Xenopus tropicalis: one gene and its partner. The protein of the gene in region 1 interacts with the protein of each later gene in a pairwise test. Links are inferred from orthologs where the notes say so. Each region holds a gene or a part of one and is shown in the gene's direction. Other genes may lie near its edges. The genes, in order: arl3 and arl2bp.

The links.
Region 2: the proteins of arl3 (region 1) and arl2bp interact in binary tests that used the Homo sapiens proteins (3 or more experiments, as listed by UniProt). The link is inferred for Xenopus tropicalis from reciprocal best matches to the Homo sapiens genes ARL3 and ARL2BP.

What each region holds. Positions count from the first base shown.
Region 1 is NC_030683.2:29,019,849-29,024,150, forward strand, and holds the start of arl3 (ADP-ribosylation factor-like protein 3), read left to right. Parts: upstream 1-1,250; 5' UTR 1,251-1,344; coding exon 1,345-1,347; intron 1,348-4,302. UniProt on the Homo sapiens protein: Small GTP-binding protein which cycles between an inactive GDP-bound and an active GTP-bound form, and the rate of cycling is regulated by guanine nucleotide exchange factors (GEF) and GTPase-activating proteins (GAP).
Region 2 is NC_030680.2:51,244,860-51,249,232, forward strand, and holds the start of arl2bp (ADP-ribosylation factor-like protein 2-binding protein), read left to right. Parts: upstream 1-1,309; 5' UTR 1,310-1,343; exon of another isoform or gene 1,344-1,499; intron 1,500-1,789; 5' UTR 1,790-1,859; intron 1,860-4,373. UniProt on the Homo sapiens protein: Together with ARL2, plays a role in the nuclear translocation, retention and transcriptional activity of STAT3. May play a role as an effector of ARL2.

The sequences.
Region 1 (4,302 bases):
TCAGCAGAGACAGCACTCACTATACATGATTAGAGTGCCGTTTCAGCAGAGACAGCTCTCCATATAATTGACTAAACTGTAGCATATCCCACACAGCTCAGCAGGTACAGTTCCCCCTATAGGGAACCGCTCATAATACATTATATATAACTGACATATACATAACTCTACATACATAACTCTACCCATACGTACTATACCGATACGTACTATACCGATACGTACTATACCGATACGTACTATACCGATACGTACTATACCGATACGTACTATACCGATACGTACTATACCGATACCCATACTTACTATACCGATACCCATACTTACTATACCGATACCCATACTTACTATACCGATACCCATACTTACTATACCGATACGTACTATACCTATACCCATACTTACTATACCCATACTTACTATACCGATACGATTGTAAGCTCTTTTGGGCAGGGCCCTCTTCACCTCTTGTATCTGTTACTGATTGCTTTATATGTTACTCTGTATGTCCAATGTATGTAACTCACTTATTGTACAGCGCTGCGGAATATGTTGGCGCTTTATAAATAAATGTTAATGTAATGTATGTACTATACCGATACGTACTATACCGATACGTACTATACCGATACGTACTATACCGATACGTACTATACCGATACGTACTATACCGATACGTACTATACCGATACGTACTATACCGATACGTACTATACACGCTTCAGCAGGCACATTTCTCCCTATATCAGATTATCAGCAGGCACATTTCTCCCTATATCAGATTATCAGCAGGCACATTTCTCCCTATATATGATATATATAAGATTACAGTTGCTTACAATGCCACAATGGACACATAAGGGCAGTTAAGGAGTACATATGGCACAGGAACCTTGCAATAGCCTTTCACCTATACATATGATGCAACCATAACAAAATTCAAAGCCACCAATGCACATCGGTTAGGCATTTACTTGTACATAGTGCAAACTCCTCATGTACCGTACCTGTACCGTGGCTACAACTCTTCACTCCACTAACTGCCATTCACTTTTCAGGTCTTCCGTCCACGCTAGCTACTTAGATCACTGTAGCCTTTAGGACTGCCCCCACCTATTACCTCAGCCAATCGAGTCCCATATCTGTGCCGCTCCCACTTTCTCTTCCCTTGGTGCTTTACAAGCGACTGCAAGTTTTCCGCATGCGCACACCGCCGCAAGGTGGTAGTTCAGGGCGAGGTTTGCCCTCAATGCGCAGCGTCTAGGGGCGTGGCTAAACGTACAACGCACGCCGCGTCGCTGGGTGACGTAGTTGCCCCTGGTAACCTGGAGAGTCGCTGAGAGGATGGTGAGTGGTGCTTTGAGGGGTTCTCGTATCTGGTATTTTAGGATGTTAAAATCCTTCAGGAGTTTGGGGAGGGAAAGAGGCAGCAGATAATGAAAACTAGCTTATTTATTGGTAAATAAAAAATGTGTAATAGGAGAATTCCTCAATGGGTATAGAAAGCTATGGTTGCCGGGACGCCATGATGCTAAAGAGGTAAAAAGGGAGGGGAGAGGGAGGACTGTCACCGTTCCGCTGCTCATCCATTGCTTTTCAGCTTAAATCGCACACACCGTAACCGGGACCGGGAACTATAACTACCAGAATCCCCTGATAGCCGGACATTGTAGTTCCAGGCCAATAGGAGAGTCACAGCTAGAGGCTCTCCGGCTCCAAGGGGTTAAGGAAAGAGATTAAATCGGCAAAGCTCCAGGCCTAATGCCAGGTCTATACCAAAGGGAATACAGATATTACCTTATCTTTTAATTCGAGCATAAAAATCTTTGGTCTCTTTTAGAGACTGCTCTTATCTATTTCTCCTGGGTCTCATTGATGTATTACATCCTGTACATCAGTAGAATAGTCCCCAGCAGCAATGCATGGATGTAGATAAGTAGAGATAACGTTATGTTTTATACAAGCAGTAGTATCTGGAGAGGAGGCAGACCCTGCAGTTGCTGCTAGTTTTGGAGGGCGCTCAAATGATCTCGCTGTGGGGCTCCGTTATGCTGCTGTTGACTATAAATCAATGTGGATCAAATTTTATTTGTAGTTTGTTGATCATTTTTTACATTACATGTTCCGCTGCTGGATTATATGCACATTTTGATGTCATAAAAATACGTTTTTTAAACCCTTGAGCAAACTAGGGGCTGTAATAATGACTTGAGGAGTTAAGGTGGCCATACATGTCAAGATCCGCTCTTGTCTCGATATCCCCCACCTACGGGTGGGGGATATTGGGTGAATTCAGGCTAATTCGGTTGGTTGTTTGGCCCTGGGGACAAACGATCGAATTAGAACGCTGGTAATAGGCGCAATTGGTTCGGGGACTGCATCAACGAGCCGTCGTAGTCCCCGATCCGACCAAATTTTTTAACCTGCCCGATTGATATCTGCCCCATTTCAGGCCAGATGTCGGTCGGGCAGGCCTGTTGTCCCCCTACATGGCCCGATAAGCAGCCGAATCAGTCTAAGGTCCCGATATCGGCAGCTACAAGGTGTATGGCCACCTTAAAGGCCTATAATGCTCTAGTTTGTACAGACCTGCCATACAGAATGATGTTGCCCAATTTTCCCTATTGAAGTCATTATTGGCATCTCTGTCCCCAAAATAGGAACTTGCAAGCAGATAAGTAATTATGATAACATTTATTTGTCAGTTGCACCGCTTATTCAAGAGTTTCATCCTAATATTCCATTCCTAATACGCTTCACCTGCAAAAACTTTTCTAATGGTTGACCACAATGCATTATGAGTGGTTCTGTTTCAGTAAGCATTGTTTCATGTGTGGTAAAAATAACTGTGAACATATGTATTCTTCTATATTAACAGACTAGGCAGAATGTATTTGTAGGGTAAGTTCTATTCATTTGATGGTGAAGCTATATGTAGATGTATACTGCCCTTTTAAAGGAACACTAACATCAAAAAATGAAGGCGTTTTAAAGTAATTGAAATATAATGTACTGTTGTCCTGTACTATTGAAACAGTTGAGTTTGCTTCAGAAACCCAACTATGGTTTATATAAATACACTGCTGTGTAGCCATGAGATGCAGCCATTAAACTGGGGAAAAAAGGAGAAAAGATACAGGTTACATAGCAGAAAACATATTAGCCCATGGCTACACAGCAGCTTGTTTAATATAAACTATAGTAGTGTTTCTGTAGCAAACACACACATTTTAACATTTCAGGGCAACAGTACATTATGTCCTGATTACTTTAAAACATTTTCATTTCATTTATTTTGGTGTTACTATTGTTACTTTATGTATTTAACTATTTTTGGCTGCAGTTCTCCAGTTTGGAATTTGGATTAAGATTTAAAGTCAGATTTAATACATAAAAACATAATATATAAATGTTTAACTTATTTAATACATAAAAATCATGATCTGTGTATTTCTATGGAAATTTTAGAAGCATATTTATCAAATTGTGAACTTTCACCGATTGATAAATACACTTCTTAAAAACCCATAGGAATGAATAGAACATGGGTGAGTTTTTGTGTGTATTAGACTTTAAACTCACATTTTGATAAATCAGTAACACTAGCAATGGGCCTCTTTGTTTAAATATATTTACAACTGTATGTTTCATAATGTATAACAATTATTATAAATCATTTTTGATATAGTGCTGATGTTAAACAACACTTTATAGTGGTTGTTGATCATTCACATTAGTTCCTGTCCTAGTGGTGTTTACAGTGTATATTTGTTTCAATTAAACTTGCATATACAGGTATTGGACCTGTTATTCAGAATGCTCAAGGCCTGGGGTTTTACAGATAAGGGATTGTTCTGTAATTTGGATCTCCATACCTTAAAGGAACAGTAACACCAAAAAATTAAAGAGCTTTAAAGTAATAAAAATATAATGCACTGTTGCCCTGCACTGGTAAAACTGGTGTGTTTGCTACAGTAACACTACTATAATTTATATAATAAGCTGCTGTGTAGCCACGGGGGCAGCCATTCAAGCTGGAAAAAAGGAGAAAAGGCACAGGTTACATAGCAGATAACAGATAAGTTCTGTAGAATACAATAGTGTTTTATCTGTTATCTGCTATGTGCCTGTGCCTTTTCTCCTTTGAATGGCTGCCTCCATGGCTACACAGCAGCTTATTTATATAAATTATTGTAGACTTTCTGAAGTAAACACACAACTTTTACCAGTGCAGGGCAGCAGCACATTATATTTTAGTTACTTTTATACACTTTCATTTTTTGGTGTTACTGTTCCTTTAAG
Region 2 (4,373 bases), on another chromosome or scaffold:
TGCTTCTCTCCTGTGGCTCCTTCGCCGGCGGTCCCTGGTCCTTTTATAAGGTTGCGCCCGTGCGTAATGACGTCACACGTACACACGGGGCGCAACCTTATAAAAGGGCCAGGGACCGCTGGTGAAGGAGCCACAGGAGAGAAGCAGCGCAAGGAGTCGGAGCGCGTATTGGGGCTCTGTGTTTTGGGGGCTATGTGTTTTGGGGGGCTCTGTGATTTGGGGGGGCTCTGTGTTTTGGGGGGCTCTGTGTTTGGGGGGCTCTGTGTTTGGGGGGCTCTGTGTATGGGGGGGCCTCTGTGTATGGGGGGCCTCTGTGTTTGGGGGGCTCTGTGTATGGGGGGGCTCTGTGTATGGGGGGCTCTGTGTTTGGGGGGCCTCTGTGTTTGGGGGACCTCTGTGTATGGGTGGCACTGTGTATGGGGGGCCTCTGTGTATGGGGGGCCTCTGTGTTTGGGGGGCCTCTGTGTTTGGGGGGCCTCTGTGTATGGGGGGCCTCTGTGTTTGGGGGGCCTCTGTGTTTGGGGGGCCTCTTTGTATGGGGGGGCACTGTGTATAAAGGGTACTGTATATAAAGGGTACTGTGTATGGGGGGTACTGTACATGGGGGGGCTCTGTGTATGAAGGACACTGTGTTTGGGGGGCTCTGTGGGCTTCCTTAGGTAGTACAGTATGAGGGTATAGCACATTTGCATCTGATCCCACCATTTCATCAATATAAAAGGAGTATTTTTAGAAAAAAATGGTGTGTGTTAATTGGGGCGTGGTCACAAAAGTGGGCGTGGCCAAAAAATTGCCGCGCTGCACGCGCCAAATCTTTTTGTCCCTCTTTTTATTTTTCAAATGTTGGGAGGTATGCTGTAGGGACCAAGGAAAAAATGTCTAGTAACCTGTGACACTGCTGTAAAACAAATACTTGGACCCTTTTTGTTTTTTTGTCAAATTCGTCAGCATGTACTGTTGCAGCCACTAAAAAGTTATTTTTTCAATTCCCTGGCACATTTGAGCTCTCAGCAAAAATTACAAATTACTTCTGCGGTAATACTGGGAACTGAGGTGGCATGTATCATGGTGGGCAACCAAAACAAGTCTCCTTTTTATTCTTCTTTGTTCTCTTACGAAAGTATGGGACACGAGCAGAGGGAAGGCAGATTGTGAGGCACCCAGCGCCACACATTAGCAGCTTCTATTTGTTTTGAGGCTCTTACGCAGTCCCCATAAGGCGGCTATGTGCGCGGCACTGTGCTTAAGTGTAGCCGTGACGCTAAATCTCGCGTGATGAGACCAGGAGTCGGGATTTTGTGAAAGAAAGAAGGAAGCAAGCAGTTAGAGGCTTTGCTGAAGGTGCAAGTAGTGATTCACGACTGTGGGTTGTTTTATGAAAAGCGGGACTGTTGGGCACTGTGCATTTACTTGTTTGGAAGGTGAGATTTTAACTCCCCCCCAGCCTAGCCAATCCCTCATACGGCTCAACCGGGACGAAAACTGGGACAAACCATACGGTACATAATCTGGGTAGGGGAAAGAAGCTGCAGGTACCCTAGCAACCACCCTCCCTTCTAAACTCTGTAGCTCATTGAATGTAGTGGGCCCACAATCCAAGTAAGTGCAACACAGCCGGGCCCCGTAAGACGCAGAGCACACTGGACTTGAGACGGCGCCCCCCCGCTCTTACCCTTATTAGCTACAATTTATATTTTCTTATGGGCACTGAATACCTTCTGCTAACTGCATAATCAATGTAACCTTATCATCAAGGAACCTTCTATAATATTCCTTTGACCTGTTTTAGGTACATTTTTTAGGACATTGGCTTACCCCTGGATATCTGCACCGCTCTGATTCCCATCATCCCTTTTCAGGTAAGAATCACTTCAAACTGAATTTACTAAAACCCTTATATCATGAAATAGCTTTTGTGTTTGTGGGAAAGGCTAGATCTAATGTTAGAGATGTTTTGTGACTTATAAGGTATTTAAATATTTATGTGTTACCGTTCCTTAAACACTTAGTATATTGGTACCATTATCCCTTTGAAATGGACACACTTTTTGACTCCGTATGGTTTGTAGAAGGCATCTTAAATGAGTAACGATTAACCATCTGAAATGAGTATAGAGTATAGTATATTATTCAGGCAGGGGTTGCATTACTAACATAAGTGCTGATTTGCGTTGTGAGCTTAAATTTTATTATTATTGTTACTTTTATTATCTATCCAGAACTTCTCCTATTCCTTTTCCAGTCTCTCATTTAAACCACTGCCTGGTTGCTAATGTAAACAACATCCTAGCAACCAGATAGCTTCTGAAATTTTAACCCTTTCACTGCCAGCCGTTTTGGACCAAACTGGAACTTCTACTGCCAGACAGTTTTTGAACATTTTGCACTGTTTCACTTTAGGGGCCTTTCCTCGGGGGGACTTTTAGTTTACCCAGGAAAACAATATATATATATATATATATATATTGCAAAAAAAGACCAGCAACACCGGATCTATTGTGAATAGTAGATTATATTAAAAAATGCATGAACAGCCAACGTTACGTTTCGATCCCCATCGGGACCTTTCTCAAGGTTGCCTTGAGAAAGGTCCCGATGGGGATCGAAACGTAACGTTGGCTGTTCATGCATTTTTTAATATAATCTACTATTCACAATAGATCCGGTGTTGCTGGTCTTTTTTTGCAATATTTAATTTTTTTACCGTGCACCCGGGACAAGAATTGAAGCGGTGTGCCATCCTTGGTTTGATATATATATATATATATATATATGTTTTTTTCAGGACAACCTAAGCTTTTAAAATATGGTGGAATTTTTGTGTAATTCCAATTCTGTAACAAGATATAGGCTTCTAAATGTCTAAAAAATGAAAAAAAATATTTTCCATAATATAAACACATACACCAGAAACAAAAATTATTTTATGCATGAAAATACAACTGATTTGGAAAGTCCCATGTCTCCTGAACTTGCCAATGCCAAATATATATAGGATTATGGAGATTTCTCACTTGTATAGGTCAAAAACTCCCTGCAGTACACTACCAAATTTCCAAAGCACTGCTCCAGAAAGCTGCACACTTTAGATTTCAAGGCCAAAAATTCCACTAACAGAAAGTTTATCCCAGAAAATTATACATTTTTAAAAAGAACAGATTCTGGGGAATCCAGAATAGGTAGAACTGCCTGTCTACTCCAAACTACTAAGTTGCAATGTTTTCCTAAAGTTATTGGTTTTTATCAAAATTTGTGAAAATTTTTTAAAAATCGCTTCAAAGCTTCCAGTCTGTAGTATCTTATCTCCTACAGGTCATAAAGTAACCAGATAAAACACCCTAAATATGAACGCCAGGGGTCCACTGAACAGTTTGATGCCCAATATGTATAGGTTTACCTAAGTATGTGGCATGTAGGGGCCTGAATGGGAACATACCCCCATATGATCTATCATTTCTGTCATTTCAGCTTCTGCAAAATCAACACATTTACATAATTATATGTGGGATAATGCTAGTAAAAAGTACATTCCCCTGAGAAAGTCATATATTTTTGGAAAGTAAAACCCCCCCCCCCCCCCCCGAATTTAAAATGGGTACCCATGTCTTTCTACTCCAAAGTACTAAGCCGCAAAGCTTTCCTAAAGTTGGCAATTTTGATTAAATTTCCAAAAATCCCCTCAAAGCTTCCACTTTGCAGCATCTTATCTCCCACATAGCATTAGGTACCAAGCTAAAACACCCTAAATATGAACCCCAGAGGTCTACTGAACAGTTTGATGCCCACTGTACACAGTTTTATCAAAGCACATGGCACTTAGAGACCCCCCAAATATACCTTGTGCTCACTAATTTTGTGGCTTACCTTAACCTAATTCATAAACACATGGCAGTTTTATGAGGGGTAGAAGCTGCAGAAATGTAGCATGACCCCTAAAAACCATATATTTTTGAAAAGTACACATTCTGACAAATCCAACATGAGTTAAGAAGACTTTCTGCACCAAAGTACCAATCTGGAAAGCTTTCCTAAAGTTAATGGTTTTTATGACTTTACTGAAAAAGGCCTAAAATTGTTGCAATTTGCCATATTTATCTTACAACATTTCTTACGTATAATGACACATCACCCTAAATATGAATGCCAGCGGTCTACTGAACATTTTGATGCCCAATATGCAAAGATTTACCAAAGTATGTGGTGTACAGAGGCACCCAAATGAAAATAGTGCATAGGAATTTTCTCAGCTGCCAACTCAATTTCTGCAAAAAAAAGCCCAATAACTGTATTATGTGCCGTAAGACCCCCTAACTGTACAGAAAAAAGTACACATTCTGACAAATCCAACATGGGTAAAGAGACCTTTCTACATC